Linked DNA regions of Lonchura striata. The protein of the gene in region 2 interacts with the protein of the main gene of each other region in a biochemical or structural test. Links are inferred from orthologs where the notes say so. Each region holds a gene or a part of one and is shown on either strand. Other genes may lie near its edges.

Region 1 (15,426 bases), on a different chromosome or scaffold from region 2:
CCAGAGCTTTGGAGAGTGAAAAACATCATTTTCAGAGCTGGCTTCTTCTGAGATGTCACCTGTTGCTGGGCGAGGCTCTTTCTGGAGTACAAATCAAAGGAGCAATTCAGCTGCTTAGCAGTGGATAAAAAATAATTACATTTCTTTCTGTAGCAGTTTAGGGTTAAAACCTGCCTTTGTTTCGTTTTGGAGAATGATGGCAATTGAACAAGAGGCTTCCTCAGGATAAAAGAACCTCAACTCTTGGCAGATCAGCATCTGAATAAAATAAAATTACTGTATAAATGAAATCTGTGCCCCCTCCAGCTCCCTGTGTTTTCAGCTCAAAGTGCTGTTAAAATACTGGTTGTGTTTAATCCATTCTGTTATGGAGGTATCAAGTAACTAAAGCACTAAAGAAAATTGGTTTCTCTTTGCACTAAATCCCTGTCTGCTGTTATGGATCTGGGTAATGCAGCATTAGTTACAATTTCAATATGCTACATTGTGTTCATATTATGCTCCTGCTGCATTCCCAAGATTTATGAAGAATTAAATACTGTTGTGAGTACAAACAGTTTGCCTCCTTTCTCTGAGGAGAAAAAAAAAGTAAATAATAAGAGATTAAATAAAAACATCCTCTAATTTTGGTTCCTATAACAGGCAACTCCTGTGGACTTGGAGTTGCCAAGTGGTGGAGCAATGCACTTATTTAGAACATTAAGGTATTGGAAAACTCACATGGATATTGATTTAGGTGATGCAGCAGCCAGCTAAAACAGCCTTTTAGTAAGAAGTATAAACACACTGGAATAAATAATAATGTTAAATTATGCTTTTTCAGTTTGCTAAAATTTCTCTGTGGGACAGTGATATATTTTCATCCTTAAAAGCTGCATCTGTATTTGTGGTGCTGTGTGAAAAATTGTGTTTGGTCAATGAAAACACCTTGGGGTGGGGGTCAGGAGGTGCCTGGATATGGCTCTGCCCTATTGAATTATTCCCTGTTCCTTTGAAATGCACAGGATTTACAGCATTTCCCTCTTTGGCAGGAAAACACAAAGTACAGGGAGTTTTCTGTTTGCAACCTTGCTGTAACACATTTTGTTTCTGCATTTTTTATTGAAACAAATTGATTGCTGGATGATCTTTAGGATAAAAAAGCCAATTTGCTCTTTTGCTTGTAAATATCAAGGAGACAAATACTTTTAAATGTCTTTTGAATCCCTATTTTATGCGGAATCATGGGGAAGTTTCCTGCTTTTAAAAAGAATAAAAATAATAAAATGAGAATAAAATGCAAAATTATTGTTTTTAAATATTTTAAGTGCTAGTGTACTAATCAGGTTAATAAATTAAGGGTTTTACCAGGTGAAGCTTTTTTTTTTCTAAAAATTATGTGCATTTACATTTTAAAATATTGTTTTTAGAGCAAAGTGTGAGACCAGCTGCAGCATTCAGCTCAGAAACATGGCCAGAGCTGTGAGCATCTGAAATGTTAAAATTAGATCTAATTCAAGACAGTGTTACATATTTAAAGGCTCACTTTTTAGCTGAAAAATACATCTTAAACATGAACATGGCTTTTAAAATACTGCAAATGTTTGTTCTGGTAGTGATGCAGAGCTGTGGAAAAGCAGGCTTGGGATGGAATGGTTCACAACACAGAAACATGAAAATATCCGAGTGTCTGCCCTTGGAGCTGCTCTTGCAAACCAGGCAGAAAACAGGGATTAAGGAGTGAAAAGAGCAGTTTGTTTTGCACCATAATTCAGGTTAACCCTGCAGAGCCCAGACTGTTGTGTGCTCCTGCCTTCTAAAAGCAGCAATTGCAGGATTTGGGGCTGGGATTGAAATGCTGCAGCTTTTACTGTGAGAAAAGGGAAATAATTGTGAGTTAGTGCTTGTATTTTGAAATGTTCGGAGTCAGAATTGGTGAGAAAAGTTCCAAATTGTGATTGTCTTTGTTTAATTCAATTATTGTGCTGTGGCTTTTTATGCCAACCTCACTGAAAGTGCAGAACACTCCCTGGGCAGTGTCTGATGGTACAGCTTTCCCACTTCATTCCTCCTGACTTTTTTCCATTTCTATTTTTTCTCCCCCCAATTAGGTGATCTGACTGAAGATCCAAAATTCCCCAAAGTTCAGTGGCCAACTCCAGACATTTGTCCTGCGTGTCATGAAGAAATCAAAGGGCTGCACAGCTGGAATGAAGCCCAAGTCCTGCAATTCCTGAAGTCCCACTACAGCAGTGAAAACATTCTCTACAAATACACCGAGAGCCAGACTGACCCCGCTGACAACGAGCAGGGAGGCACGAGGGAGGGGAAAGACAAAAACCTGCTGAAGAACTCGGGGGGAAATGGGGAAAAGAAGCTCCAGGAGAAGGAGAACCCAGGAGATCCAAGCTCCAGGGTGTTCCAGAAGCCGATGGGAAATCCTGGACCTGTCCAAGGTAGCGGCAAAAGCTCAGCTGCATCCGTGAGCCTCAAAGGGACCAGGCAGGCTGTGTCCTTCCTAGGGATTGGATTTTCCAACCTAGACATGAGTCTGTGTGTCATCCTCTATGTGGCATCATCCTTGTTTTTAATGATCATGTACTTTTTTTTCCGGGTGAGGTCCAAGCGCTGGAAAGTGAAGGCTCACCGTTCCTCGGTGTAGGAGTTCTCGCTGTACGTGGCTGTTGGCTCCCAGACACAGCTTTAATATTTATGATCAGGGATTTTATATGCAGTATTCCTTGGGTCAGGCCCCTTTCTTCCCAAGGCGTTCAGCTGAACAGGTGGAGCTGGCCTTGAGATCCCCAGGCTTTGCCCAAGGCCACGTCAATGTCCTCGCACGGGAGCGTTGCATTTGGCAGTTAAGATTTTTCCATGACTTCCCACCAACATCCTTTACTCATTTCCAGAGTAAACATTGCATTATGCAATCTGCTGTGCCTGCTGGAGAAGGAAATTGGATATTGTTTTGTGTATTTTCAAGTCAGGTGTTATTTTTTTTTTTTTAGTTCATCCAGAGCTGCTTTCACCTCCCCGAGTGCTGAATGGTACCTTGGCTGCTTCACTGGGAGAAGCAGGAATTCTGATGTTTCTTTTCAGGAAACATGAGTTCTCTTCTGATTAAATCAATTCTAAACCTCTGTGACTTTCTGAAATATTATTTACGTATTTAAAGTAGGAAGCATTTCATGTTCAAACCATTCATCCGTTCTCTGGTGCATTCCAGACAAGGATCTGTGTGTGTCATCACTAGGATGAGAGTTTTGGGCACAACTAGCAGCCTGATTCTGAATGCTAAGTAATTATGGTGTTGTCCATGTGGAAACCAATTCTGATGAACTCTAGGAAAGGAAAACAATGTTTTTAGTGAAGGACAGCAAGATTTATGTTATTGTGGCAGAACAGGTTGGAAAATCTACAAATACTGAGTTTCTTCTGTTGAATTTCTCCATCACAAGAGAGCAATTAACACTTCCCTTGGTATTTCCAACCAGAGCTCTCCCATTCTGGGATGTCCAGTTCCCTCTGCAGCTCAGTGTGGGGTCCTTGGAGCAGCAGTGAGAAGAAATCACAAAAACATTACAAAATCATCCTTGGGAGTAGGAGTTGCTGTGATCCTGGCTGGGGGGGTATAATTCACGTCCTGGATAGTGAAGTTTATAATCCTATCCAATGTAATTGAGCATGTTCTAGTTATCCATTACCTAATCTTTAGTTAATCCTAATAGGTTTTGGCTTCAATGTTTTCTCGTGGCAGTGAGTTTTCCAGATTAATTATGTTATATAAAAAGGCTTTTCCTTTCAATTCTACATTTGCAACTTTTAATTTAATTGAAGGTTTGCTGGCTCCTCTGTTACATGAGAAGGAATAAGGAGTCCCTGGCCAATTCCCTGGATTTATTCCATTGGTGTGTCCTCCTCTAATTTCCCTCAGAAGCCCCAGCACAGAAAGTTTGAAGCCTGGCAACAAAAAAAGCACAGAGACTCCACAGGGTGATTTTTTCATAATCAAATATTGGCTGTTCACAAAATTGAGTCTTTCTGACGGGTCTCTGCAGCATCCAGTTGGAATGACAGAACTGAGGTGCAGAGATTCACTGTCCCCTGTAGCTGAGGTTCATCACAGTAACACCCACAGAGAGGAACAACTTTCTGGGGCTGCTGTGAACGTGTCAGAGGAAGAAATCTCAGTTCCCATGACCCTGTCAGTCCAACATTCCTGCAGAGGGGCTGGGTCTGTGCCCGTAGAGGCCCCTCAGAATTCCAGAGTTCTGGCAGAAGGAATCATCCTGGGTCTTTCCTCTTTAGGAATTTATGACTCCAAGCCTTGGAGCAGCTGGGCTTGGATTTCAAACACCCTGCAAGCACAAGGGTGATGGTGAGCTCAGGGGAAGGGGGTCCAGGCTCATCAGGGCAGGGTTTGGGCTGGAATCCTGTGAGAGATCCCAGGGCCAGGCTCATTCAGAGGAAAACCCAGAGATTCCACACTGACTTTTGAAAATCAGGTAACTTTGGGGTGTTCTCAGCCCTCCAGCAAGGATACTTTGCTTTAAAAGGAAATCCAAACACCAGGAAAAACTAACCCAGCTCAGCAATGTTGAGCTAATTCATTCCTGCTCTCAGTATTGCACATTCTCAAGTTGAAATTCAGTCATTAGTTGTTTAGAATTCTAACAAGTACATAGACCTGGTTTCATAAGCTTTGACTCATTCTGCTCATTTTCATCTGCACATGAAAGCAAAAGGCCTTGGAGGTTTGTAGGGATGATTTTGCCATTAAAAAGCAGCAAATGTGGGTTTGGAATAAAGTTTAACTTCCACATTGCTGCAACCCCGCTGCAAACAACAAAATGAATCAATACTCAAACTTCAGTGGCTTTTTTTGTCTCTTTATGAAAGTATGAAATTAATGAAATTAAGATGTTGCTTGTCCATATTGGTGCTCCAGCTTTTGCCAGTGAGCCAGCCAAGGCTTTCACTTCAATGTCCTCATCTGGGAAGGTTTTCTTGACTTTGAATTCACTTGAGCAAATCTTGGTTTGCTTGGGTTTATTTTTGGCTTTCTAATGACAAATTATACCATTTTATGTCTCTGTAACAATACAGTCTGTGCTGGGACGTGGGGGATGCTGCCAGGAAAGTCTCTGATTTAAAAATTGTCTCCAAGCCCCACGTCCTGAACCTTGGAGGGTTTGTTTGTGTGGTGTGTTCCTGCAATGCCACTTCCCTGTGGGAATCCTGCTGTGCTGGGGGCAGTCACTCAGCCCTTTGTAATTCATGGAGCTTTCTTTGCTCTTGGGATGTTTTCAAATAGGAAATATTAAAATAAAAGGAATAGAATGTGTCAGGAGAGACAAAGGCTGCAAGTGCTAAAGAAACCCAATGAAGTTATTTGTGAGAACTCCTAATTTTCTGTATCCAGCATTGCATCCATCCTGCTGTTCCTGCACGGAGCTGGATGGGAACAAAAGTCCCAGGTGTGGTGTTGCACATGAGGTGTTGAAAATAGTGACAATACCATTTCAGTAATTTAAATGTTCTATTTATTTGAAGTCAATAACTTGACATTTCCAAGTCTGTTCTGTTTGGATTGGGTTTTTACTGTCTCATTCCTCTCTTGGAAGGAAAAGTGACTGTTTTGTACTAAACTGTAAATTAATGTGCTTGTTTAAATAAACTGCAAACGTTTGGGCAAAGTGGATGCGTTTTGGCTCTTTACCTGTGTTTGCAAATTGTTTTGAGCTGAGCTTTATTGCCAGGACAGCTCATGAACATGTCCACAATAAACCAGATCCATCATCCTGTGGAGGTGTATTTTTAAACCCAGACTTCTGAGGAGCTGCTGAGGAATCTGAAGGAGGGAAGAGAAAATAAACCAGGAATAAAGAAAGGTTTGAGTGGGTTGGTTTTTATTAATGGTTGTTTTTTATAAATGGCAGAAGCCCAAGTGAGGAAGGCCATGGGCAAGGCTGGTGCCTGCTGCCCCCTGAGCAGGAGGGCACAGGAGGGTGTGCAGGGAGATCAACACAGGGACTTCTGTGGGGTCTGGGTGTCTCAGCGTGAGACACCACGGGGTGGCAGGTGCCACTGCTGGTCCCGAGTGGGACACAGCCCCTGCTCCCTGTCCCGAGTGGGACACAGCCCCTGCTCCCTGTCCCGAGTGGGACACAGCCCCTGCCCTCTGTCCCCAGTGGGACACAGCCCCTGCTCCCTGTCCCCAGTGGGACACAGCCCCTGCCCTCTGTCCCGAGTGGGACACAGCCCCTGCCCTCTGTCCCGAGTGGGACACAGCCCCTGCTCCCTGTCCCGAGTGGGACACAGCCCCTGCCCCCTGTCCCCAGTGGGACACAGCCCCTGCTCCCTGTCCCGAGTGGGACACAGCCCCTGCTCCCTGTCCCGAGTGGACACAGCCCCTGCTCTCTGTCCCGAGTGGGACACAGCCCCTGCCCTCTGTCCCCAGTGGGACACAGCCCCTGCTCCCTGTCCCCAGTGGGACACAGCCCCTGCTCTCTGTCCCGAGTGGACACAGCCCCTGCTCTCTGTCCCGAGTGGGACACAGCCCCTGCCCTCTGTCCCGAGTGGGACACAGCCCCTGCTCCCTGTCCCGAGTGGGACACAGCCCCTGCTCTCTGTCCCGAGTGGGACACAGCCCCTGCCCTCTGTCCCGAGTGGGACACAGCCCCTGCTCTCTGTCCCGAGTGGGACACAGCCCCTGCCCTCTGTCCCGAGTGGGACACAGCCCCTGCCCTCTGTCCCCAGTGGGACACAGCCCCTGCCCTCTGTCCCGAGTGGGACACAGCCCCTGCCCTCTGTCCCCAGTGGGACACAGCCCCTGCCCTCTGTCCCGAGTGGGACACAGCCCCTGCCCTCTGTCCCGAGTGGGACACAGCCCCTGCTCTCTGTCCCCAGTGGGACACAGCCCCTGCTCTCTGTCCCGAGTGGGACACAGCCCCTGCTCCCTGTCCCGAGTGGGACACAGCCCCTGCCCTCTGTCCCCAGTGGGACACAGCCCCTGCTCTCTGTCCCGAGTGGGACACAGCCCCTGCTCTCTGTCCTGCCCGCCACAGCTGCCCCACCCCTGCCCCGTGCCCGGGGAAACCGGCACCACCACACCCGGGTTTGCTCAAAGCGCTTCCTTAGAGGCTCAGACTAAAAATCCACTTTAAAACCGAGCTTAGAAGGGACCGTGTGGGTCATCAGATGTTCCTGGCCCTGGGGACGAGCTGGTGGCACCCGGTGTCACTGCAGCACGGTACCGGTCACACTCGGGCAGGACCTGGAGCCCGACTCCCGCCTGGCGTTCCTGGGTGCTTTATTTGGGGACTCCATCCTGGTCCCCAAAGGGAATCCCTGCATTTCCCAGCCTCGCGGGCTGCAGCCTGTCCCCGGCCAGACGAACCATCCCAGGGGACAACCCCGACCCGGCCCGCGGCCCCGCAGGACCCGGGGAGGGGAGGGTGGGCTGGGCTGGGTGCCTCGGGGCCCGGGGCTCGCCGGGGGCTCCGCGGCCGCCCCCAGGAGCGGGCGAAAGTCCCGGTGCTGCCGTGGGCAGGAGCATATGTGAGTTTGGAGGCTCCCGCCCTTAAGCTGCTTTTATTAATTTGTAATCCCCTGCGAGCAGGAGGTAAAGGGATTCGGGGGATTAACGGGCTCACAGTAACAACCACAATTATCAGCTCCGGCTGCCCGCGGCAAGCGGTGCACACACGCACGGGGCTCTCCCCGGGCAAACGCGGCCCCCGCGGCCGTGGCAGCGCCCCGAGAGCTCCGCACACGCGGGAACGCGAGGTGCCGTGGAACAGAGCACAGGCACAGGCTCCCCACACCGTGTGCACGGCCAGACCCCCACCCCGCGCTCCCGCACCGCCCCAGGGCCGCCGCGCTCACAAAACCCCCGCACAGCCCCGCGTGTTCCGCACACGCACACTCCGTCCGTGTCCTCCCCGTCTTCAATTAGCGCAATTAACCTCCTGCACCGCCGCACGCCGCTGGCCGCGGATCAGGCATGAATTCGTTAATTAATTTGCGGCGGGGAAAGAGTTCCCCCGCTGCCCACGAGCGGATTCAGGGGAGCCCCGCACTGCGGGGACAAACGAAATCTGGGCTCGGGGGCTGCCGGGGGGCAGCCGGGCCCGGGCGGAGGCTCCCCCCGACGGCGGCTGCCCCGACCCCCTTCGTGCTGCCGCCGGGGGGTTCGCGGGGCTCCCGGGGCCGCTTTGCACCCGAGGGCGGCGGCTGCAGCCCGAGCCCACGCGTCGGGCGCGGCCACGCGTGGGACGGCGGGGACAGCGCTCCCTCGGCCGCTTTTGTGATGCTAAAGAGCCCGGCGCTGCACCGCGGCCCAGCTGCGGCCCGGTGCCGCCCCCGGCCCGCCCCCCGCGCCCCCCCGCTCCGCCCAGCCCCGCGCCGCTCCCTGCGCGCCCCTCCGCGCCGCTCCGCCACTCCTCCGCAGCCACCCGCGCACTTCGGACGGCGTCCACGGAGGCCGCGATGCTGCTGGAGCGGGTCCGCGCCGGCTCGGAGAAGGCAGCGGAGCTCTGCCCCTTCCCGCGGAGCCCAGGTGAGGGGGAGGCGCGCAGATCTCCGCGTCCCCCCGCGGAGGCAGCGGCGGCTGCTCTGGGAGCCGCGGGACCGGCCGTGCTCCGTCCGTGTCCCGAGGGCACCGCCGGGGCCGCGGTCGGGGCTGGGTGCGGGGATGGGCGGCCCGACGGCATCGGGGGGTCCCGTCCCGCCCGTCCCGCTCCATCCCGCCCGCCCCTCGCTCTTTCCTGCCTCGTCCCCGATATCAGAGCCCCCCTCGCTGCCCCCGGCCGCTGCTCCAGGTGTCCGTGGATCCCGGGGAAAAGCAGCGGCTGTCCCGCGCTCACCGGAGCTCTGCCCGGCCCGGCGGAACGGCGGCTCCTGCCCCGGGGTCCCACCGCTCCCCGCTCAACGAGGACAGGGACAAAACGGGGACTTCCCGCTGCCCGAGGGTTCCCTCCGATTGTAGGGACCCCCTGCGCCCTCCTGCCCGCCTCCCACGCGGCTTTTTCCCCACTTTAGAAAAACTCCGTTAATTCTTCTCTTAAATGTTCTTCCGTCCCGTTGAACGAACAGGGTCAGCCCTGGCGGGGCGGGGAGAACCGGGCTGCGCTCCCCCGGCGTGGCCGGAGCTTCAGGGCTCAACGGGGGAGCGGGTCCGGTCCCGGAGCGGGGCCGTCCCGGTTCTCACCAACATCGAAAGCTTTCGATGTGGCTTTAAAAAAAAAAAAATCAACGACGAGCCGGGACGGGGTCCCCCCCGGTGTGCGGGAACAGAGGTGTCACCGTGAGCGGGACGGACCGCACGGCCCCGCAGCCGCCGTGAACGGGCTGGTGCCCCGGTCCAGCCCCGGTTCGCTTTTCCCTGGCTGTCCCCGTGGGCTCTCCGCGGTGCGCACATCGCGGCCGCGGCAGATGCGCGTTTGACCCGGCGACCGGGAGCTGCTTGCGCTCCGGTAGAACGAAGGACGAGCAAATTCGTTTTACCCGCAGGACACGACGCTCGTTCACGGCCCCGCGGTCCTGGGCTCCGCCGGGGCCCGGGGAGGCAGCGGGAAGGGCTCGGCGGAGCTTACCGTGGCCGGGGGCCGGTGCCGGGGGGTTCGCGCCGCCGGGGGGCCCGAACCGTGGGGCGCTTTGCCCGGGCCGGGGACAAATGCCGGGGTTTGCGGCTCACAAGGAGCTCGGGGCAGCGGCCGGCGCTGCCTCTCCCGGCGGGACCCCCGCCCGCCGCCGGCCCCGTCGGGGCTCGTTTCCCCGGAGCCGCGTCCCTCCCGCCGGGCGCAGCCGGGAAGGGGCGGCGGGAGGGGATGTGCCGCCGGCCCCGGGGGCGGGGGGGATTAAATACAGCGCTCCGCCATGCCCTGCCCGGCGCTTCAGACCGGCACCGGCGGCGAGGGCCGGCGTCTAAAAATAACCCGCTTTAGCGAATTAAATCCCCGGCGCCGCGGGGGTGGCGGCGCTGGGAGCGGGGGACAGCAGCCGCTGCTTTGGGGGGGTCCGGCGGGGGCAGAGCGGCCGCTGCGCCCTCGCCCCGCGGGAGATGCGCCAGAGCCCGCGGCCCGCCTGAGGGAGCGGAGCTGCCGCGGCCGCGGATCGCCATGCAGCGTAAGAGCCGCGGAGCGGGCTGGACCGGGACCTTGCCGGGCTGTGCCGTGCCACCGTGCCCGCTGCCGGTGCTGGAGCTCCGTCCTGGCCGGGGCCGCTGCCTTTAGCGCTGCCGCTGCTGGGGTTGTTTGTTTGGACGCGGTGAATTGTTAAGGATAACGATTATCACCCCCACCTCTTACCCCCGTGCACGGCGAGCCAGCTCCTATATCTATAGAATTATCTTTACATAGAAATGCTCTCGTGTCCGCACCCATCTGTTTCTGTACAGCCGTGTCATGCATCTCTCCGCCTCTATCTATACCGATATAACCGTATTTATGTACCTCATATCCATATTTTCACCTACTTATCTCTATCTCTACCTATATACTGAAATCTATATATTTATGTTTATATATATCTGTACATTTATCTGCTGTATCTGTTTATTTTTATATCTCTATTTCTCCGTAACTGTGTCCTTATCTCTTTCTGTATAATCTCTGTCGGTATCTAAAGGGGGACGGGACAAGACTGCCGCGTTTTCATTTTCAGTGCAATTCTCGTAATTTTTGGTAGTTTCTTTCCCCGCCCCATTCGGGCTACCCCACCGTTGTTCACAGGTGAATTTTGGAAGTTTAGGAAAAGGAAAAAGAGCCTGGGATAATTATAGCTTTGCCAGCGGCTCGCTCGGGGACTTAACTCCGTTTCCATCACTTCCCTTCTTGTTTATCCCGGTTCTCCCGGGCACTTCTCCCGGATTGCGCTCGGCTCGGGGGTTCGCTGCTCCCCACGACGCCGCGACAACGAATTTGAACGAATAATGCTTTTTTCCGTGCTGTTCCTCGGGTCACCCCCTCGTCCACCGTTGGTCACCTGCAGCCCCGGGGCGGCGGGCCGGGCCGGGCCGGTCGGGGAGGCGGAGGGGCCATCGGGGCTGACGGGGGCTGCCTCCCCGCAGAGATCCCGCTGTGCGCCGGCTGCAACCAGCACATCGTGGACAGGTTCATCCTCAAAGTCCTGGACCGGCACTGGCACAGCAAGTGCCTGAAATGCTCCGACTGCCAGACGCAGCTGGCCGAGAAGTGCTTCAGCCGCGGGGACGGCGTCTACTGCAAGGAAGACTTCTTCAAGTGCGTGGGGACGGCCCGGGAAGGGACGGGGGGCGGCCGGCCGCGGGTGGGTGTCGCAGCGCGGGCGCGCTCGGGGTTCAGCACCGGGACAGCGGCACCGGGAGGAGCACCGCGGACAGCGCCGGGCCCGGCGGGGACCGTGCCCGGCCTCGCCCGGCTCAGCGGCCGCCGCTTGTCCCCCATGCTCAGGCGCTTCGGGACGAAGTGTGCCGCCTGCCAGCAGGGCATCCCCCCGACCCAGGTGGTGCGCCGGGCCCAGGACTTCGTTTACCACCTGCACTGCTTCGCCTGCATCGTCTGCAAGCGGCAGCTGGCCACCGGCGACGAGTTCTACCTCATGGAGGACAGCAGGCTGGTCTGCAAGGCGGACTACGAGACGGCCAAGCAGAGAGGTACCCCTTGCCCTGTCCCTTCCACCCCCGAGGGCAGCAGGGAGGCGGCCCGGGGCTCTCCTGCCCTCCGGGACAGGCTCACACACCGGGCGGCAGGGTGGAGGGAGGGACCGGGGAGGGTCGGGGGGTCCCGCGTCCCCCGTGGTGACTTCGCCCCTAACTCGCCCCGTGTCGGCAGAGGCTGAGTCTACGGCCAAGAGGCCCCGCACCACCATCACGGCCAAGCAGCTGGAGACCCTCAAAAACGCTTATAACAACTCGCCCAAACCCGCGCGGCACGTCCGGGAGCAGCTTTCGTCGGAGACGGGGCTGGACATGCGGGTGGTGCAGGTGAGTGCGGGGACCGGGCCGGGCCGGGGCGGCGGGCGCGGAGCGGCCCCGCAGGCACCGAGCTCCCCGGCGTGCCCCGCTCGCAGGTCTGGTTCCAGAACCGCAGGGCCAAGGAGAAAAGGCTGAAGAAGGACGCGGGGAGGCAGCGGTGGGGGCAGTACTTCAGGAATATGAAGCGATCCCGGGGGACATCCAAGTCCGACAAGGACAGCATCCAGGAGGAGGGGCCCGACAGCGACGCCGAGGTTTCCTTCACAGGTGGGTCCCGCAGCCCCAGCCGGGCTTTGCGGGCGCGGGCTGCGTCCTGCCCCAGAGCTGCTGCCGTGCCCCGGCTGTTTCACCCCTCGGGGCCGCGGTGGGGATTTGCGGCGATAAACCAGAGCGGCCGAGGCGGGAGAAGGGCAGAGCCGCGGGATTCAGCGCGGGGAGCGGCGGAGCGAGGGGCGGCCGGGCCGGGGAGCGGGGAGAGCTCCCCGCGCAGCGCGGCGGTGCCAGAGCCGCTGCCCGGCACGGCCTCTTCAAGGGATCCTTGGAAATACAAAAAACGGGAAGCCCAGAAGCACGGAATGTTTTTCTGGGAAAACGAGCGTGATTTGTTTTTTTGTTGTTTGGTTTTTTTTTTTTTTTTAAGTCGTATTTAGGGATGGGTTTATCTGTGCAGTTGCTCATTAGGACTCTTCAGTGGGAGCTGTTCCTGTGCTGCAAAAAGGAAATAAGCGGCTTCTGCAGCAGTGTGTCCCCTTTTTGGGGCCGAGGTTTCTGGTGACAAACCCAAAATTTCTGGACAGACCAGCAGCAGCTCACCCCACACTCTCCAGACCCGCAGGGACAGTGTCCCAGGCTGGGTTACATTTGCAGAAACACGTTCTGCACAATCCCAACTCCAGCCCAGTGCTCCATTCCAAATTTCTGTATCATTTTCAGGAATGGGAGAGAAACTGAAATGCAAGCCGCTGTATATATTTACATAGACTGTGTATTTATAAACACACACTTTTTCATCTCAGCTCCTCTCCTGTGCTCCTAAAAACAATTTGATTTTCGAGTCTGTTTATACACACTGTGTATCAGCTCATTAAATATTAATAGTCTATAAATAATAACTAAAAAATGTCGAACAATTATTGAGAGCTCAGGTTTGTATCCCCAGCAACAGAGCAGCTCTCACTGTCCATAAAGCTTCTAACGAATACAAACAATTTTTTCTGGAAACTTAAAAAAATATTACTCATTTTTTAGGAGTGTTTTTAAGCCATACAAATACATTCTGTGTTTCTGTGGTTTCATTAGCCTGTCCTGACCAGACAAATATTTTAATTTAATATCTCTTTTCCTGAATAATTGGGAATTTATCTTGCATTGTTTCAGGTAGCTCCTAAAAGTGATATCAAAATTCAAGATAAACATCAAAACCAAATAGAAACAAAAAGTGAAAAGACATCGAATTCACTTCCCCTTTAAAGAATTATTTTTAAATCACAGTTTTACATTTTAATACGTACTTTTTATGCATGTTTTTAAAATCCAAGATATATTAGTTGTTTGTATTCAGAAAAAAATATTAATCCCATGGCTGCCTATGAAGATTTATTGACAAGGATGGGAATAATAAGGAATTACAAGTGGAAGAGCATGACTGCTCAGCTCCCATCCTTTTAATCTATTTATACCCGCCGTTCGTGGGAGTTCCTGGGTGACTGGTGCTTTTCCATTGCTCCCCCAGTAAAACCAGTCCTTTTCCCTTTCCCAGACGAGCCCTCCATGTCCGAGATGAGCCATTCCAACGGGATTTACAGCAACCTCAGCGAGGCCTCCCCGGCGCTGGGGCGGCAGGCCGGCACCCCCGGGAGCTTTGGCCTGGAGCACGGCGGGATCCCGCCTCAGGAGCAGTACCACGACCTGCGCCCCAACAGCCCCTACGGCATCGCCCCGTCCCCGGCGTCCCTGCAGCCCCTGCCGGGCCACCAGCCCTTAATCTCCAGCCTGGTGTACCCGGACAGCGGCTTGGCCATCATGGCACAGAGCGGAGCCGGCGTGCCCCAGCCCATGAGGGTCCTGGCTGGCAATGGACCGAGCTCCGACCTCTCCACCGGCAGCAGCGGCGGGTACCCTGATTTCCCGGCCAGCCCGGCCTCCTGGCTGGATGAGGTCGACCACGCTCAGTTTTGATGCTGGCAGTCGAAGGGGAAGGACTCGGTGCTGTTGGAAGGGGAAGGACTCGGTGCTGTTGGAAGGAGAAGGACTCGGTGCTGTTAAATGTCACCTGCTCTTGGAAAGGACAGAGGGACGAGCCGTGAGCGGTGCAGGAACGTGACACGGAGGGAGCAGAGGGGATTTCGGACATGACCCTGCCATGATGGTGGCGATGATGATGGTGGACAAAGGCCCTGGCACTGCAACCATCGGCACCCGGAGCGTCCCAACCAAACCGATTCTTGTGTCTTTACCGAACACCAAGACTTGTGCTTTACAGATTTGATATGAGGTATTTTGCGTTTTGTTGTCAGTGCATTCTCCAAAGCACCCATCCACACCAAAACGTTTTTAAGGGAAAATAAAATCCTCATCTACGGTGAAAGGTGTGACAATGTCTATATTTCTATAGGAGAAATGTTCATAGTGAATCACTTCAGAAATCCATGGTAGGAATCTTCTCTGTTCTTCCAACAGATTTTTTTAAAGTGCACCAATGCGGTATGTTTTGTTTTACTTTGAACTTACATTAACTTTTCTAAAACGAAATGCTCTTAATATGCCAATCGTTTATCAACATCCCTTTTCCTTTGTAAAATGAAAATCATATGTTAATTCTGCTTCTCCCCTCTTTAATTTGTAGATTGCTAGGTTGACTCTTCCATATAAGCATTAAACCGTGAATAGATGTATTTATTACCAAGTAATTCCACGTTTATCACGAGGTCAAGAGGTGAATTTTCTTGACCCGGGGACACCGGTGGTGGATCTGGGTTGTGGATCTTACGCTTTTCCTTCAAATTTCTTTGCATCAGTTTTACTGCAAAGTGTCTCAAAAATCACCCTGATGTCTTGTTGCCAAAAACCTTCTCGGGGGGTCGGGCTGGTTTAGGATGAGCCCTTCCCCAGGCACTGCTGGAGGGAGCACCCCCTTCCCTGGGGACACGTCTCTGCTCCAGGCATTTGTGTATTTCCACGGATATCGTGCAAGCTGATTGTGAGGAAAGGCAAGACAATATGTATATTGTTATCTGTACAAATTATGGAATTAACTGTAGATTATGTGGATGTCCAGTGTCTTTTATTTATATTCTTGCTTTCTCTCTGATGATCAAATACTTCAAGATTACAAATAAATTTGTCAGCTAAACTTTACATAGTCTTTTGCTAAATTCACATCAATATCAGTAAATAAAAAGCCTGAAACTAAAAGATCTTAAAACTTGATCAAGCAAAGTGTTGAAATATTCCCTTTCAATAGAGGGGCAAAATGCTTTGGAACAACAAAA
Region 2 (15,286 bases):
CCTTCATGGCTCTCATGTGTCCTGTCCTGTTGAAGCAGATGAGCTCATTGCAGGATAAGCTTAAATGAGGATGGTGACCTCCAGGTGCATGAGATAGAAAATCAAAGATGTGTAACAAAACAAGGTGTTTTTGAGGAAGAAGCTGAAAATTGCCAAGCCTGTAATTGTCTCTGCTTGTGCTTTGGCGGCTGCCCTTAGACAGGCAGTTTTGTCACTCTGCTCAGCTTCTCCTTGCTTTAACAAGGGACAAGGAACTCCACTGATCTTTGAAAAGCCTTCAGTAAGTGCCACGTTTTTCTTTCATGTTCTGGATGTCCCTGCTACAGCACACATACATCAAACCCTGTCCATAAAGGAGTAATTAATGGCACAGCTAAAGGGATGTCATAGGATGGGCCTGATTACAGCTCACCCAGAAATGTCTTCCCAAGTCCCAGGCTCTTTGACATTATTCTCCCCCCTTTATCTGGATTTCTTCCAGCATTAATTTCAGCCAGTCCTGGGATTATTTGAAAGAGGGCCTTGGGGGACTTGTTCAAAGGCACTGCCACCACAGACGACTTTGCTTTCTGAACTGAAGCATTTCACTCCTATCTGTCTGGACATATGAGCTGCTCAGCACTGCTTCATTAGGCAAGTTATTTTTAAATTCCCAGAAAGAGCAAAACATTGAGAGAGGAATTAGCATTTGCTGTTGAAACAGCTGCCAAACAGAAGAGGCAGAAGGCACTCCGGGTCCCGCCTGCTATCCCTGGGATTAACCAGGCACCAGTACCCAGTCACTGACACACTCTCAGACTGCACATGACACGTCAGAAATCATGGCCCAAGATAAGGATAGGTAAGTGACCATCAGAACTCTGTTCTGGATGTAAGTAAGAAAGTGACCATCAACACAAAACAAGAAAAAATCTTGGAAATCTCTCTTTTCCTCCAGCCCTGTTCTCTGTTTCCCCCTTTTTCTTACCTGAACTATTCAGTTAAAGGATTTTAACTCCATTCTGGTTTCTCCACACAAATGAATGAAGCAATAAAGCCTGTCCAGAGTCTTTGCTGCCCTTAAACAGCAAGACCCAGTGGGCACCCAGCACTTTCCAAATGCCACGGGACTGCAATAAAGCTGATGCTGCTTGATTGCATTCTCACTCTGTAATGGGTTTAAGTTTCCCAGTGGCTGATGGTGCTCTTTCAGGCCAGAGTTAAAGCAAAAGGCTTGGCAATGAATTGTCTGAGGCACGTTTTGGTCTCTGTTCACAAATGCTGATTGCCCCGTGGTTGGTGCTGCTGAGGGCAGCCAGGATTCCCACTGATAATGTTAATAATGCAAAAAAAAAGTGTTGAATATGGGAAGGCGGAATAGGTTAGGTAAAAATATCCTTTCCACCTCTCTGGGAGCACACAGGCAGCACCTGTGCTCCTGCCTGCAGCCACAGGGTTTCTGTATTTATCCAGAACAAATCTAGCAGGAGCTGTTCTCATAACCTGCTCCCAATTCCTGTCTAATGAAGGCTACTGGATTCCTCTGAATTAATGCTTGTTCAAACCAGAGTGTTTGCTTTGGAAAAAAAAAGATCTCATTAAGTATTTCCAGTGATTCTTCAGTGGCAGGCACTCTGCCACAGTCGGCAAACTGCCTGTGGATCTTCCAGTGGACACCTTTCCCCAGTCCTAAAAATGCACAGCAACCTGTATTGACATCCACCTACCAAACACCCCTCAGCCAGATAAATCATGGAATCACAGAATGGTTTGGGTTGGAGGGGACCTTAAAGACCATCCCATTCCACCTGCCAGGGCAGGAACACCTTCAACCATCCCAAGTTGCTTCAAGCCCCATCCAACCTGGCCCTGAACAATTCCAGTGATGGAGCAGCCACAGCCCTTCAGGCTGTGCCAGGACCTTACTATCTATAGGGTTAAATCTGTCATGTGCCTTCCCAGAGACTGCATTTAAAATGTCCCTTCACCTTTTATTTCTTAGTAAACTGTGTTCCTTGGGTGCTTTTTCACCAAAGTATGTTTTCCAGCTCTCTTCCTGGAGCACACACAGAGGTAATAAAACCTCTCGTGTCTTCCTTGGTACCTCGTTTTGTGATTCCTTGGAAGCATTAGCTCCTCTTGGCAGAGCATCTCATTAGGAGCTCTTCTTCAGCTGATTATTCCTCTTCTGAGTCACTGCTTTCCATGACTTTGTCACCCACCCCTTAGTCCAGCTGCTGCTCTATTCTTAGGCTAACGACTTAACATCTGGTGGCACGAAAAACATGTTGTTTATTTAAACTCATCTCATTAAGTGATCCAGATTAGGTTTGGTATTGGCGACCTGCCCCAACTTCTGTGCAGCTGCAGATCAACAGTAATTATTTGGCATTTTCTCACAGGTCAGTGATCACACGTTAAGTGTTGTGGGGTCAAGATCGGGCAGGAAGGGAGCTCTGCCGTGTTCAGTGCTCTGCTTACAATTACACTTGGAGACCTATCAGTTAGTTTTCAATCCAATTAATATTTGTCATATTGACACATTGTTCCTCTCAATCAAAGTACAGTGAAAGACAAGATCTGGTCTCTGGCTGAAGATTTCTTCTAACAGCTCTACTACTGTGAACTATGATATTAAAGAAAATATCTGATTAACGGGACAAAGCCTACTTTTCATAATGCTACAGGATCTCCTTGAAATGATTTATCAGCTTATTATCTGTTACCTTTTTTCTTAAGTATCTGTGACAACAGAATATCCAGGAATATCTCCCATTAACCTTTAAAGAGACAAATGGCTGGAACAGATCTCCTGTGGCCCCTTCCCTGGCAGCTGTTCCCTGTGAGGGGCCAAGTGCCCTCCCCTGTTTCCCACTCGTGCCCAGGGCCAGGGCCCCACCCCAGCCACGCTCTGCGGGGGCAGAGTCCCTGTCAGTGCCCAGTGCTGGGCAAACCTTTGGAGCTGTGCTGGCAAACCCAGCAGCCCCAGGCTCTGCCCCACCCTCTGTCACCAGGATGTCCCCAAACCCCACCCGCCCCTTCTGACCTTCCCAGCTCTGTCCTGTGAGAGCTCAGCACCGCTGGGAGCACCAAACCCAGAGCTCGGCAACACCGAGGAGACTCGGTTTGCTGTGAACAGAGGGAAAAGGGAAAGAGCTTCAGGTGTTTTAATGCTTGGAACCGTCTACCAGCACAGGGGTGGGACTGTCCATTTGGGGACTGTTCCTTTGGGACTGTCCATTTGGGGACTGTCCTTTTGGGGGCTGTCCATTTGGGTACTCTCCATTTGTGGGGACAGTTTGCAGGGACATAAGATTCCTATTTGGGAATCTCCATCTTGGGACTGTCCATTTGGGACTGTCCTTTTGGCACTGTCCAGTTGGGGACTGTTCACCTGGGATTGTCCCTTTGTGGACTGTTTAGGACTGTTCCTTTGGGACTGTCCATCTGGGATGGTTCCTTTGGGACTGTCCCTTTGGGACTGTCCCTTTGGGACTGTTCCTTTGGGACTGTCCCTTCGGGAGCTGTTTGGGACTGTCCCTTTCCCTGCAGCCCCTTTCCCTGAGCCCTTCCCCAGTGTCACATCTGCCACTGTGTCTGTGCTGCCCCGTGCAGGGGAGGCGATGGAGCAGGGCCTGTGGGACTGAAAACAGCTATGTTCTGGGGCTCTGATTGGGTTTTCGGCTTGGTTTAGGGGACAGAGATCAGGCTGTGCCAGGACACACATTACTCAGCTGCACCAGTGTGAATGCACAGCAAATTGTTTGGGCATGGCTGCTTTTGGGAGAAAGGCTGAGATTAAGACTTGATGTAAATTTAATTTTTTAAGTTTTGTCATGAGGAAAGACTCAAACAGTGTTTTTCTTGCGATTCTGAAAGATGTTTTTTGACCAACGTTATAATCCTAGAAGAAAGTTACTTTAAAATTAAATAAAGCGAATGCTAACCAAAATAAAGTTAATCCAGTAAGCATGGTAAGGAGTTCATCAAGATGGGGTAACTTTTCCAGTCTAGATTTTATTCTGTCCTACCTATGGAGCTTTTAATTTCCATTTGACTACTTTAGATGAGCTTTCTTGCCTCAGGGTTTTAATAAAATCAATGAACTTCTGTGCTTAAAACCTGGCAGAGATGGCTTTTTCAGAATAGAAATAAAGTTCCTTCATCAGGAGACAAGTTTTCTTGAATTAATACCTGCAAAGGTGAGTTTTCCAGAAAGGAAAAATAATAGTTTAATTGCACATGGATGTTCTTGGATGGCCTGGGGTAATTTTGTTAACCAGAAGGAAAAATAAAACCTCACTTTTTCCCACTTGACTTTGGTTATTTCTGGCCGGAACAGGGCTCAGGTGCAGTGATGAAGCACTTTGGTGACATGAGCAAGCACCTCTATGTTTGGGTTGTATAAATTGCCACACTCTGCTTTAACTACTTCATCTTCTGCAGCCTGAATTTTTTAGGTACAACTGGATTTATAGAATTTAACTAGGTGACAGTAAACAGCAGAGAAATCCTTTGGGATTAAGCAAATTCAGCAGAAGTTTCCACATCCTACATTTATCACAGACTTTGTATGTAACTTTCTGCCAGAATCTACAGAAAGACAAAGTCAATGTAAAAAGTAAACAGCAGCTCAGCTTTAAGCGCAGGTAGCTGGGAAAAATCAGAATTCCTGCATTTACACTCCCCAGCTGGCTTCATCTCCCCACTCAGTTCCTGGCTCTACCTCTACTTGGAGTATACAAAGATCTGAGTTTGGTGGGTCTGTTATTTTTAATTTTTTTGCTCAGGTTTAGAAGCTCCCAAGAGATTCAGATTTCCACACCTCACTGCATTTGGATTATTACTTAGCTATACTGAGAATGAGTTATTTTAATATATTTTTAGAAAAAAAAAAATAAGCCAACATTTTTTTCATCTATCACTGCATACCTAATAAGCAGTTTTTAAAACTCTAGGGAATTTAAAACAAATTTATTTACCCCCATTGAAGGAAACGACATTAAACTTACCATGGAAAAGTGTTGCAATTCTCTTTTGCTATACACACAGTAGCAAATTGAAAACACTTAAGTAGGAATTACACCATGCTTTTGCTGTAGATTTTGAATTTTTCCCTATACTGCAAATTTTTCTATGCAAATATATTTTCCCCTACAAGCTTTTTGAAATATGCTGCTACACTGCTCCTAATTTTGTCAAAGCTGTTTAGGAGATGTGTGTGCACAGGTCATTAATTATTATTAATGTCAAGTGGATACTGAAATCCATTAAGTGGTTTTGAAAAATCAGAGCTTATTCTGTACCTGATCAACTCTGTGAGGGCATTTGCAAATAAATCCACCAAATCGCACCCAGGGAGAGACTTTTCTTCAGCTGTGTGCCCTGGACCTCAGCTCCAAGTTTTTACTGCTAAGGAAGGTGTGAATCAGCAGGATCCAGCTGCTGTCTCTGCTCCTCACGGGTGTTCATCTCCCAGCAAACTACAAATGTCTGCCTCAAGAGTCGGAGCTCACCCACAGACGTGAAGAGGAATGTTTTATTGCTCTGTTGCTTTGCCATTTGATGATTTTCAAGACTTTCGGTAGGGTTAATCAAGTAAACCTATTCTGTTGAGGGGGAAAGATACAAACAAAATGATGTGTCAGATGTCAGGAGGCTGTTCCAAGAACATAAACCATCATCTTATCCCTCCATCCAAACAGAATATGCTCCACCTCCCATTTGCTCAATAATCCCTCATATTTTGCTGCTTAGGTTACTGGTGTCTAAACAAAGCCACTTTTATCCTGCTCTGACCTTGCCTTGTTTCCAGAAAAGGTGGGGGGAAAGGCAGGATTCACTTTCATGCATGACCAGCCTGTGGCAGTGCCCTCACCTCTGATTTCTTTTGAGGTGACACAGAAATGTCCTGCTGCTGTGCTAATTGCCAACACTCATACTCATGGCTGCCTTATCAATCCTGGGCACAAGGCTTCCCATGATAAGCTGGATCAATTGTGTGCCCATCACCTGCTCCCTGAATTATCCACGTTTGAAAAATGGAATGGGTTTTTTGCCAGCTTCAGTGGTGCCTGTCAAATATAAAGCAGTGTCCACACACTAAGCCACAGGGTCTCCATTTGGGGGATACAGTTTCTCTGGCCACTGGATTTTGTAGGGGTTGGACCACATAAAACATACGTTTGTCATGGGTCAGGAGCAAGACAACTTTTCCCAGTGGCAAATATTTTGGTGCATTAAATATTTGGTGCATTAAGTATTGTGATGCATTAAAACCACAAAATTGCTTTGTGACATTAAATTTACTCTTCTTTGGGGTTTTTTTTATAATATTACTCACATTTAACAGCCAAAGCAGAGCTGTTAGGTCACAGTTTGACCCAGCAGTACATTTAATTGTAACTTTAGCAACGATGCAAAAGACTGGTCTGATGTAAACTCACCCTCCCAACCCCAATTTACTTTTAAAATCATAAGAAGTGAACATTGTCCAAGCAAGTTTTATGCTGTGTTAAGTACTACCTCTCCATCACTCCAGGTATGTGGTGTATCAATACTCAATTGCTTCATGTACAGGTTATTTGAACAAAAACATAGTTGGGAACCTACACCTGCTCCAGATGAAAGTGGGACTCCTTCCTGCTCTCTGTTATTAAGGATTTTGGCATCTTCCTTTCCTGGTCACAGGCTGTGGCAAGTAAAACTGATGAGAAATATGCCCTGTACCTGTTCCTTCCCTCTTCTCTCGCCCGGACACTGTGGCTGCCTTTGAGTTCTCAAGTCTGCTGGAGGGAATTTAAAGTGTGAATTGTGAAAAACACCAATCACTTGTTTTTTGTTTTTTTTTTTTTAATCTTAAAAGTTAATAATAAAATAGTTATAAAAATAGTAATAAAATTAGAGTAGTAAAAATTTGGACACAGGATTAGGACACTACAAGACAATAAAAAGCAAAGAATTACAGACATCTGGATGTTTTGGGGCACTGAACTGCCAAAAACACGTCTTGGGAGCAAAGGAATAACCCTTAAAAGCAACAGCCAGTTGCATATTCATCTATCTCATACATGATGCATAAATTCTTTGCAAATTAAGAATGTTTCTGGTTTTTGTCAAATTCTTCCCCTTAATCCTGGTGGTTCCATAAAGATGGAGAGAAGGTGGAAGAATGTTTGTCTTTTCTGATAAGGAGGCTGTAATTCTTTAGATTTTCTGTTGCTGTTATCTCTATGCGAAGAGTTTCTTGATTATCATATCCCTTTTCTTGAGCTAGTAAAAAATATCCTACATTGCAGAGTTTCTATTTTAACATTATGTTGTAACCTAAAACTGTATTTAACACACTACTTAAAAAGGATTAATACAGTATTACAAAATAACCCTCCATAACACACATAGTATTCAATTTAATATTTGTGAAGAGGCAATCATAAAATATGCATTTTTCACATTAATATATAAAACCACTTCATTTACATTAGAAGTTGGACTTGTATTGTTGAGTAGAAACTTAACAGCTTCCACAATCTTTAAATGCAACACCCCCCTCAACTTGACAGTGCTATTTTTATAATGAACCACCAAAAGGAGAAAAAAAGGTGTCTCGTGGGCTTCCTGAAATGGTGTAAAATCCTCAGGAATACGTTTTTTCTCTATGTATCAGATACTATGAAGATAACTTCCTTGCAAGACCTTAGCAAGATATGACATTTTGGGCATTAAAATGGGATCTTTCAAAACTCAGCTGCCCTCGGTAATTCCAGCAGTGAGGGGGAACACTGCAGAAGTGCTTAACCCTACATAACATGGGAAGTCTGGCGTTCAACTCATTAAGGCTCACATAGGAAAACATGAATATCTCAGTTTTCAGAGCTGCATGTAGTACACACCACCAAGTGAGGGGGGAAAACCCTGCCATAGTTATAGAGGGGAAAGAACGTTCACGGTTTGAGGTGGAGGAATGTCAAAGCTTGGAGGGAAAGGAATGTCCGTGGTTAGAGGGGGAGGAATGCCCATGGTTAGAGGGGGAGGAATGCCCATGGTTAGAGGTGGAGGAATGACCAAGGTTAGAGGGGAAGGAATGCCCATAGTTAGAGGGGGAGGAATGCCCATGGTTAGAGGGGGAGGAATGACCATGGTTAGAGGTGGAGGAATGACCATAGTTAGAGGGGGAGGAATGCCCATGGTTAGAGGGGGAGGAATGCCCATGGTTAGAGGGGGAGGAATGCCCATGGTTAGAGGGGGAGGAATGCCCATGGTTAGAGGTGGAGGAATGACCATAGTTAGAGGGGGAGGAATGCCCATGGTTAGAGGGGGAGGAATGTCCATGCTTGGAAGGATGAATACCCGCACCGACAGACGCCAGTACTGCCAGTATTTGTTTTTTTGGCACTGCTGGCCACCATCGACCATGCACGGAATCCCCTCTCTCCAGCGCCCACACCTGAGACAACATGAAACTTAGGGGACCGCGGGGATACGGACCCTACAGTGAACGGGCAGGCACTGCTGAACCCCGGTCCCCCCCGCATTCCCTGGGTGCTGGGTGCTCTGAGCTGAGGAGCAGCCACGGCAGCCCCGCCCCGCCCTCAGCCTCTGCCCGCACCAAAATGGCGGCGGCCCCTGAGGGCCGCGGCCGCGCGCGCTGGGCGGGGCTGCCCTCGCGGGCCGCGCCTGCGCGGGGCCGCGCGCGCCCCCACTTCCGGCTGCCGGCGGCCGCTTCCGGCCCCCCGTTCCTTGGTAACAATGGAGCAGAAAATGGCCGCCTGAGCGGGCAGGAGGCGGCGCGGCGGCGGAGCGGCACGGGCGGAGCGCGGACAGCCGGCACCCAGCCCCGAGCGGCGCGGGCAGCGGCGCACCCACAGCCGGGGCGGCGGCGGGCGTCGGCGGCGGCGGGCGGTGAGCAGCGGGGCGGGGGCGGGCTCTCAAAATGGCCCGGGGACGGGAGAGGCCCAGGCCCGGGGGAGGCGGCGGCGTCCTCTGCCCGCAGCGGGAGGCGGGAGCGGAGCCCCTCAGTGCCGGCTCGGGGCCGGCGGGGCGGCTCGGCGGGGCGCGGGAGGCTCCGTCCGCGGTGCCGTGAGGGAGCGGGGGGCGGTGATGGCGGTCTGGGCGGGTGTGCCCGGATGGGCCGCGCTCCGTCACCCCGGGGCCTCTCCCGCCGGAGCCGCCCGGATCCTCCGCTGCGGGCTGGAGCGGGGGCTGCGCTGCCTGCGGGGAGGGCAGACGGGCCCCGCGCCCTGCGGGTGTCCGGCCGGGCTGGGGAGGAATGGTGAGCGGCTCCTTCGGGAGGGGTGGGGGAGGGGGTGGTCAGAGCTGCTGCCCTGGGCCTCGTCCGCGCTTGGGCGTCTGCTGCGGGAACCGCAGCCTCTCACGGCCGCGTTTTCCGCCCGTGCTCCCCGAGAGCTGGGCCAAGAAGCCTTGTTGTGGAAGACAGGCGAGAAGAACTCTTCCTCTCCCGCTGTGCAGAGCTTTGGATCAGCCTGTGACCTGTTCAGACCTGTGCTGTTTGCTATTCCTGTGCTGAGTTTCTCCCCAGTTAAGCACGTCATCTTTGCTCTGTCACCTTAGCTTCCTGTGCAGGTTTTCCCCTGCCCCTTTTAACGATGTTTGTTAGTATTTAAGGGTTCTGGTTCTCTGTTTCAAAACCTTTGTCGAGTCCAGCTGCATGTATGTGTTTATCTCGAGTCTGCTTTAACTGAGGAGCAATGTCAAGCTGTGTGTATGTATATCTGCCTGGCATGTAGTGATGATTAAGGTTTGTTTATAAAATTTATTATGTGTCCCGATTTTAGTGTGCAGCAGAAGTCTGACAAAAGGTTTCACAGGAAAAAAACCTGAATTTTTAAAATAATAGTAGTATTATTTTGCTGTTTCTCAGCAAGGTGGAGCCTTGATGCAGAGAAGCTCCTAAACAAGAATACAAACTTGATAATACCCAATAGTATCGTCACACATCACATTTATTTTCCTGAACGTGTTGGCAGTATTGGGTAATTTCAGCTTGGAAATACTTGTCAAATGTTCAAAAGAACTTCTAATTTGTCCCCGAGTTTTAATTGCAGTGACTTGTCAAGTCTTTTTAAAACAAACAGTTCGCTGCTTCTCGGGCAGTTAATTATCTTAATTGAGGGTCAGATATTTAGTTTAGTTGTAGTGGTCACCTAGCACTTAAACTGACTCTGTTCCCTCTACAGGTTTACCATTTTGGAATTAAAATAATGATAGCTTGGAATTATGTCTTGGGAAGGGAAAACACACCACACATTATAAAATTAAGGGTTTCTTGTTATGTTAGACCACTAAAGCACAACAACTGCAGTGTTCCCTTCATCAGCAACTCTGACTGGGTAAATGTTTGTCCCTGAAATAACCACACACCAGTGTTTTTCAAGCTCTAGTGGTTGCCATCTCTATCATATTTATTTTCCATATTACTGAATTCCTAGAAAAGGCTGTTGCAAGTGTCTGCTCTCCAATATGTGTAGTTGGGTTTTTTTTTTGAGGAATGGATAGCGTGATCCTTAGATTGAAATGTTTTCAAAACACCCTTACATCAGACACCTGCCTTGCTTGTTCTTTAGTCCTCTTCCCTGTGGGGATGTAGCAAAATAAATCCCTTGATCTTAGCAGAATAATTCCAATTGCAGTGGAGGTGTTACATTTTTTTAAAAATCACAGCATAATAACAATGCAATTAATATAGAACACAATGCTATATATTAATAACATGTTATTAATATTAATAAACATAATATGTTTATATAACATATGACTCCATATGTCTAAAGTTTGTGTTTAAGTCCAGCCTAATGTAGCTTAACACATTACTGGAGTGTCCTAAATTCTTTTTTTGTAGAGAACTTCAGTTTCCATGTCTTAAAACACTTGAATCCAGACATGATTATTGGGTGTTTAGCCAAGGTTTTGTGGTTTAATCTCAGTCTTGGTGAAAACTTATCAGCGGCTGAGTTTGCAAAAATTATTCGTGAAGGGATAAAACCAAATGTGAACACTTCCTTCATGATCCCTTTATGGGAGTCTTGTGCTTCTCAAAACCAAAACTTCTAAAGAGTTTAGTAGTGTCATAACTTAGTCGGGAGCTTTGTGTGCTGAGTAGGGATAGCCAGGAGCATCCCAGGGACTGGTTTTGCCTTTGCACAGCTTCTGGCTGCAGGTAAGATCATAAACACAAGCCTGTGTCTCCTTCAGAGTGCTCAGGTTTGTATTAATGAGGTGCTTGTTAGGAGCTTTTGGCTGCTGCATGGTGTTCAGGATCAGCTTTTGACTCGGGGAGGTCTGCAGGGTTGGATGGTCTCATAAAACCACCTGATGGTTATGGAATGTAGGAAAAGCCAGCACGTATTTTATCTTCATTCAGTATTTAAAATCATCTTGTGCTCAGAGCACTCTGGGTTTCGATGTGCAAGGTATATGTGCACATAGTCCTATTAAAATGCTGGAGCTTCTCTGCCTTGGGATGGTATCAGAAATGGAATTGTCATGGTACAGATGCCTGTTTAAATTCAGATAAATAGATAAATTTGCCTTAATTTGATTTCCCACCTCTCTTTGTTGGGCAGTGGATATCAGCAAGAACAGGAACGCACGTATCGGAATTCCTCTGTGGTTTGTGGTTGCAGTGATTGTTGCTCTTTTACTGTTAGCAGTGCCTGCATTAGCAGCAGTTGTGTGGAGACAGCAAGATTCAGCAGTCAATTTAAAGATGGCTTTTTCTTTTTTAATTGAAAGTCAGTGAGTGTTGATTGGCTTGGTGTTTTCACTAACCACAGCTTGTGTTTCTTCAGGAATCAAAACTCTACTTGTCCTTGGCTATCAGTCCTGTTCCAGTGCTGTCTCTCAGGGTCAGCACTGCTTACTTGTGTGCAGCTTTACTTCTTTTGAGTTCAGCGTGGGCCTTCTGCTGCTGACCCAGCTGGAAGTTCATTTCTGGGCAAAAAGAGCATCACTTCACGAGCCTGCAGTGCTGGAAACTTGCTGCACCTCGTATACGCCAAGCTTTCTCTTCTGTGCTATCTGAATTTGATGGCAAAGGCAGTGTTATCTTAATTTTATTTTCCACTTGTATGTGGAAAGTGTTGTTTTAGTAACTGCAGATGATAAAAGGCAAAGCCCAGCATTTTGGCAGTTGTTACTGCATTTTATTTTCAGAGCTCCATCTTGGTTCCACATGCTCTCAGTATTCTGGAATTGCTAAGTTCTGCCCTGATTTCCTCACTTCTTTCTGACTTATCAGGAGTTGTTAGTGTTTCTTTATCTCAGCAGTTGGTTCAGCTGAAGTGTTTTTCCTCTCTGGTCTGTTGGGGTTTTTTATTCTGTGGAACTTTCTGCCACTGTTCTGCACAAGTATTCATTTGCTTTCTGTTGTTTGAAATGTATGTTCAGAATGACATCTTGTTTGAGGGCCTTTGCTTTCAAACACTGGGTAATGAAAAAGCTGAATCGATGTTTAAAACTCATTATTAAAGTGGCATTTAAATTTTACAGGACTTTTCATAGAACACTTTATAGAATACAAAACTTTCTTCCAGCTTTGCAAGACTGGTGCATTTCTGATTTTAAAACTTGTGGTAGATTTATTAAAAAGCTAATAAGAACCTAAACCTGCTGTTCATCACAGTGGAAATAAAAAGCCACAATAGAAGGGAAAAGAATCCCAAAATTCGTTATGCCACTTCGAAAATTAGAAAAGTTTCTTCTTTTTTACTGTTTCTAAGATGGAGATGAGTATATTGGACCTGTGGTATCAAAGACTTCGGTGTGATCACAAAAGGCACCTTGTGCACCTGCACAAAAAGAAAAAGCCAAACAACTTGACATAATGAAGCTCCATGTATAATGCAAACAGATTACTTTCATTTCACTGTCTTAGGGTGTCTTTTTCCTTTAATGATGGGATTCACTGACAGTTTTTCCTTCTGCTTTTGAGCTTGCAGACTTGAGTGATGAAATATTTAAGATGAAAATGTAGTTTCTGTTATGTCTTACTTCCAGTTTTGAGTATGGAGAAATTGGATACTGACTGGCATGGAAACTGTTTTTTCCACTTTGAATTCTTCTAGGAAAATGAGGTGGAGTGGGTTGGATGAGTGCTGTGTGTGAAGTGGGTTCAGTTTGTGCTTGAAGGAGCTGGGGTAAGAGGACTGCCTGTTCTAGCTGCTGTTCCTGTGTCATTTGAGACATGGAATTGGAGCGAGGCTGGCTGGGGCCGTGCTGCCATGGCACGTCAGAGCTGCTGAAGTCACAGTTCGTGGAAAGCGCTTGGACACGCAGCTGTGCTGTGCTTCTCTGGAGCTGAAGTGTCTTTGAGGCATGTTCACTGCAAGCTGGGCAGGGAAAATAGCCTCTAACGACCCAAAGCAAACAAATCCCAAGCAAATCCGTGCTTCTGGATTCCATCCTGAGTCACTCCTTTAGTCCAAGGGTTTGATCAGTTCTGTGGACTGCAAGTACGCAAGGTGCTCTACCGGTTGGAGTAGCTAATTAAGATGAGGGTATGAATCATAAATGAGAAGCTGGCCTTCTGCTGAGGACATCTCTGGAACACCCACACTGCCATCCTCTTTTTTGTTTATCCAGAGGTATTAACTGTGTTGCTGGGACGTGAGGTAACTCAGGAAACATTCCTGCCACACAGGGCACAAGAGATTCTCAGGTGAGGTTGATATACCGGTAACACCGACATGGGGGAGTTCTAGAGAAACTTCTTCTTGCACACCTGACTCATGACCAGCTGAGTTGGTTTTTCAGTTTAATTAAATTCCGTGCCTTCTGTTAAAATTTGAGGCTTGCCCCATAAATCTAATGAAAATTTTAATTTTAAGGTGTCGCTTTTTCATTAACCCTGCCAATTAGTGATTTCAGGGTTTGTCAGATTTTCTAAGTTCTGCCTAGTTGGTTTAATGAGAGCTCTAATGTTTTATGGGATTTCTTTTAAATGTAAAAAAGAAACCAGGAATACAGGCTAAGGTAGTGTCTTGGTGTTCAAGTAAGGTAACTAATGTCAGGAGATATTACACATTTTTGAAGGAGGAAGAACTAGAGATTCATTACTGTGCATTATAGTCCATTAATACTTTTTCTGGGAAGAATCCTGTAGTCCACAAGTGCTGTGCAGTATGGAGATAGGCTGTGTTACTGTTGAAGGTAAATGGGTGACACACACATGTTATCCCTGCTTGCTGTCCCACTAGAATTGAAGCAGTAGCACATTCCTGACTGGATTTAGTTCACACACAACCTGGCATGAAAGAAAACAAAATATTTCTTAGGCTGTATGAATGATAACTTTGTATTATTGAGGGAATATCCAGTACTCTTAAATTGTCCCTGTCCAAAAACATATAGTATTGCTTCCTCTTGAATTAAAAGAATGTAACAAACAATGGCTTTTGTGGGCTTACTGCAGTCTGGAGCAGCAGTGGGGAGACAGGCAGTCATTTGTGCTTGGAAATCTCTGAGGTTGTTGAAGCGTAACTGCAGGGAAGATACTTTTCTGATTTGTGGCAGGACAGGAACACCAATTAAGAATTCACTCTGTAGCTACTCTTGTCTGGATATTCAGCTGCTGAATAATTTTTTTTTTTTTTTTCCCAAGGAGAAAATTGTTTATCCTGTCTCCGATTCTCGTGCTTTGTGCAGTCCTTAGGTGGCCACCCCCTCACTTCCCTGTAAAGAGGTTTTTCATACCTGGATAATCTCAGCTGAAGTTGGCAATAACCACCAGATCTGAACTTCCTGCTCATAGCTGTGACCTTCCCCACCCTGTGTCAACTCAGTGCTGACAAGGAAGGACACTAAAGGAGAAATTTCTGAATCTTTTAGCTTGGATAAGAACAAAGCCTTGTACTGGAAGAAGGAAAGCAGAGTTGAACTGTTCTTGCTTATTAGATAGCCAAATGTTGGTTATTTTGTTGTAAGCTAATAGTGCGCCTGTTGGTTTTCCCTCATCAGGCTTCCCTGTATTACTGGCTTCCTTCAGCCAGTCTTAATTGTCCGCAGGCTGTGAGCTGAGAGCAGCATCCTGAAGGGCAGGGGTTCAGGTTCTTTCTGCCTCTCTGTGCAGAGCCGTGGTGGCTCCCACCGTGGAAATTCTGCTGCCCAGCCAGATGGGCTCTGTGGAGCCATGCTGAGGCAGGAGCAGTCTAAACATTCCAGTAACTTCAGTCTGGCCATGGAGAGCTCTGCAGCGGGCTGGGAGGTGAGGCTTATGCTGGACAATGAGCACAATGAGGAGATAGAAACTAGCAGAAGCCTTGGGGTAGAAATCCTGGTTTTCATTTGCTGG

The links.
Region 1: the proteins of RLIM (region 2) and LHX3 form a complex in vitro, tested with the Homo sapiens proteins (2 studies listed by BioGRID). The link is inferred for Lonchura striata from reciprocal best matches to the Homo sapiens genes RLIM and LHX3.

What each region holds. Positions count from the first base shown.
Region 1 is NC_134624.1:9,073,956-9,089,381, forward strand, and holds LHX3 (LIM/homeobox protein Lhx3), read left to right. Parts: upstream 1-8,469; coding exon 8,470-8,539; intron 8,540-11,050; coding exon 11,051-11,222; intron 11,223-11,411; coding exon 11,412-11,614; intron 11,615-11,792; coding exon 11,793-11,944; intron 11,945-12,030; coding exon 12,031-12,202; intron 12,203-13,694; coding exon 13,695-14,113; downstream 14,114-15,426. Other genes in the region: QSOX2 (sulfhydryl oxidase 2), read left to right, coding at 2,091-2,641. UniProt on the Homo sapiens protein: Transcription factor.
Region 2 is NC_134616.1:16,781,435-16,796,720, reverse strand, and holds the start of RLIM (E3 ubiquitin-protein ligase RLIM), read left to right. Parts: upstream 1-8,757; 5' UTR 8,758-8,880; intron 8,881-15,286. UniProt on the Homo sapiens protein: E3 ubiquitin-protein ligase.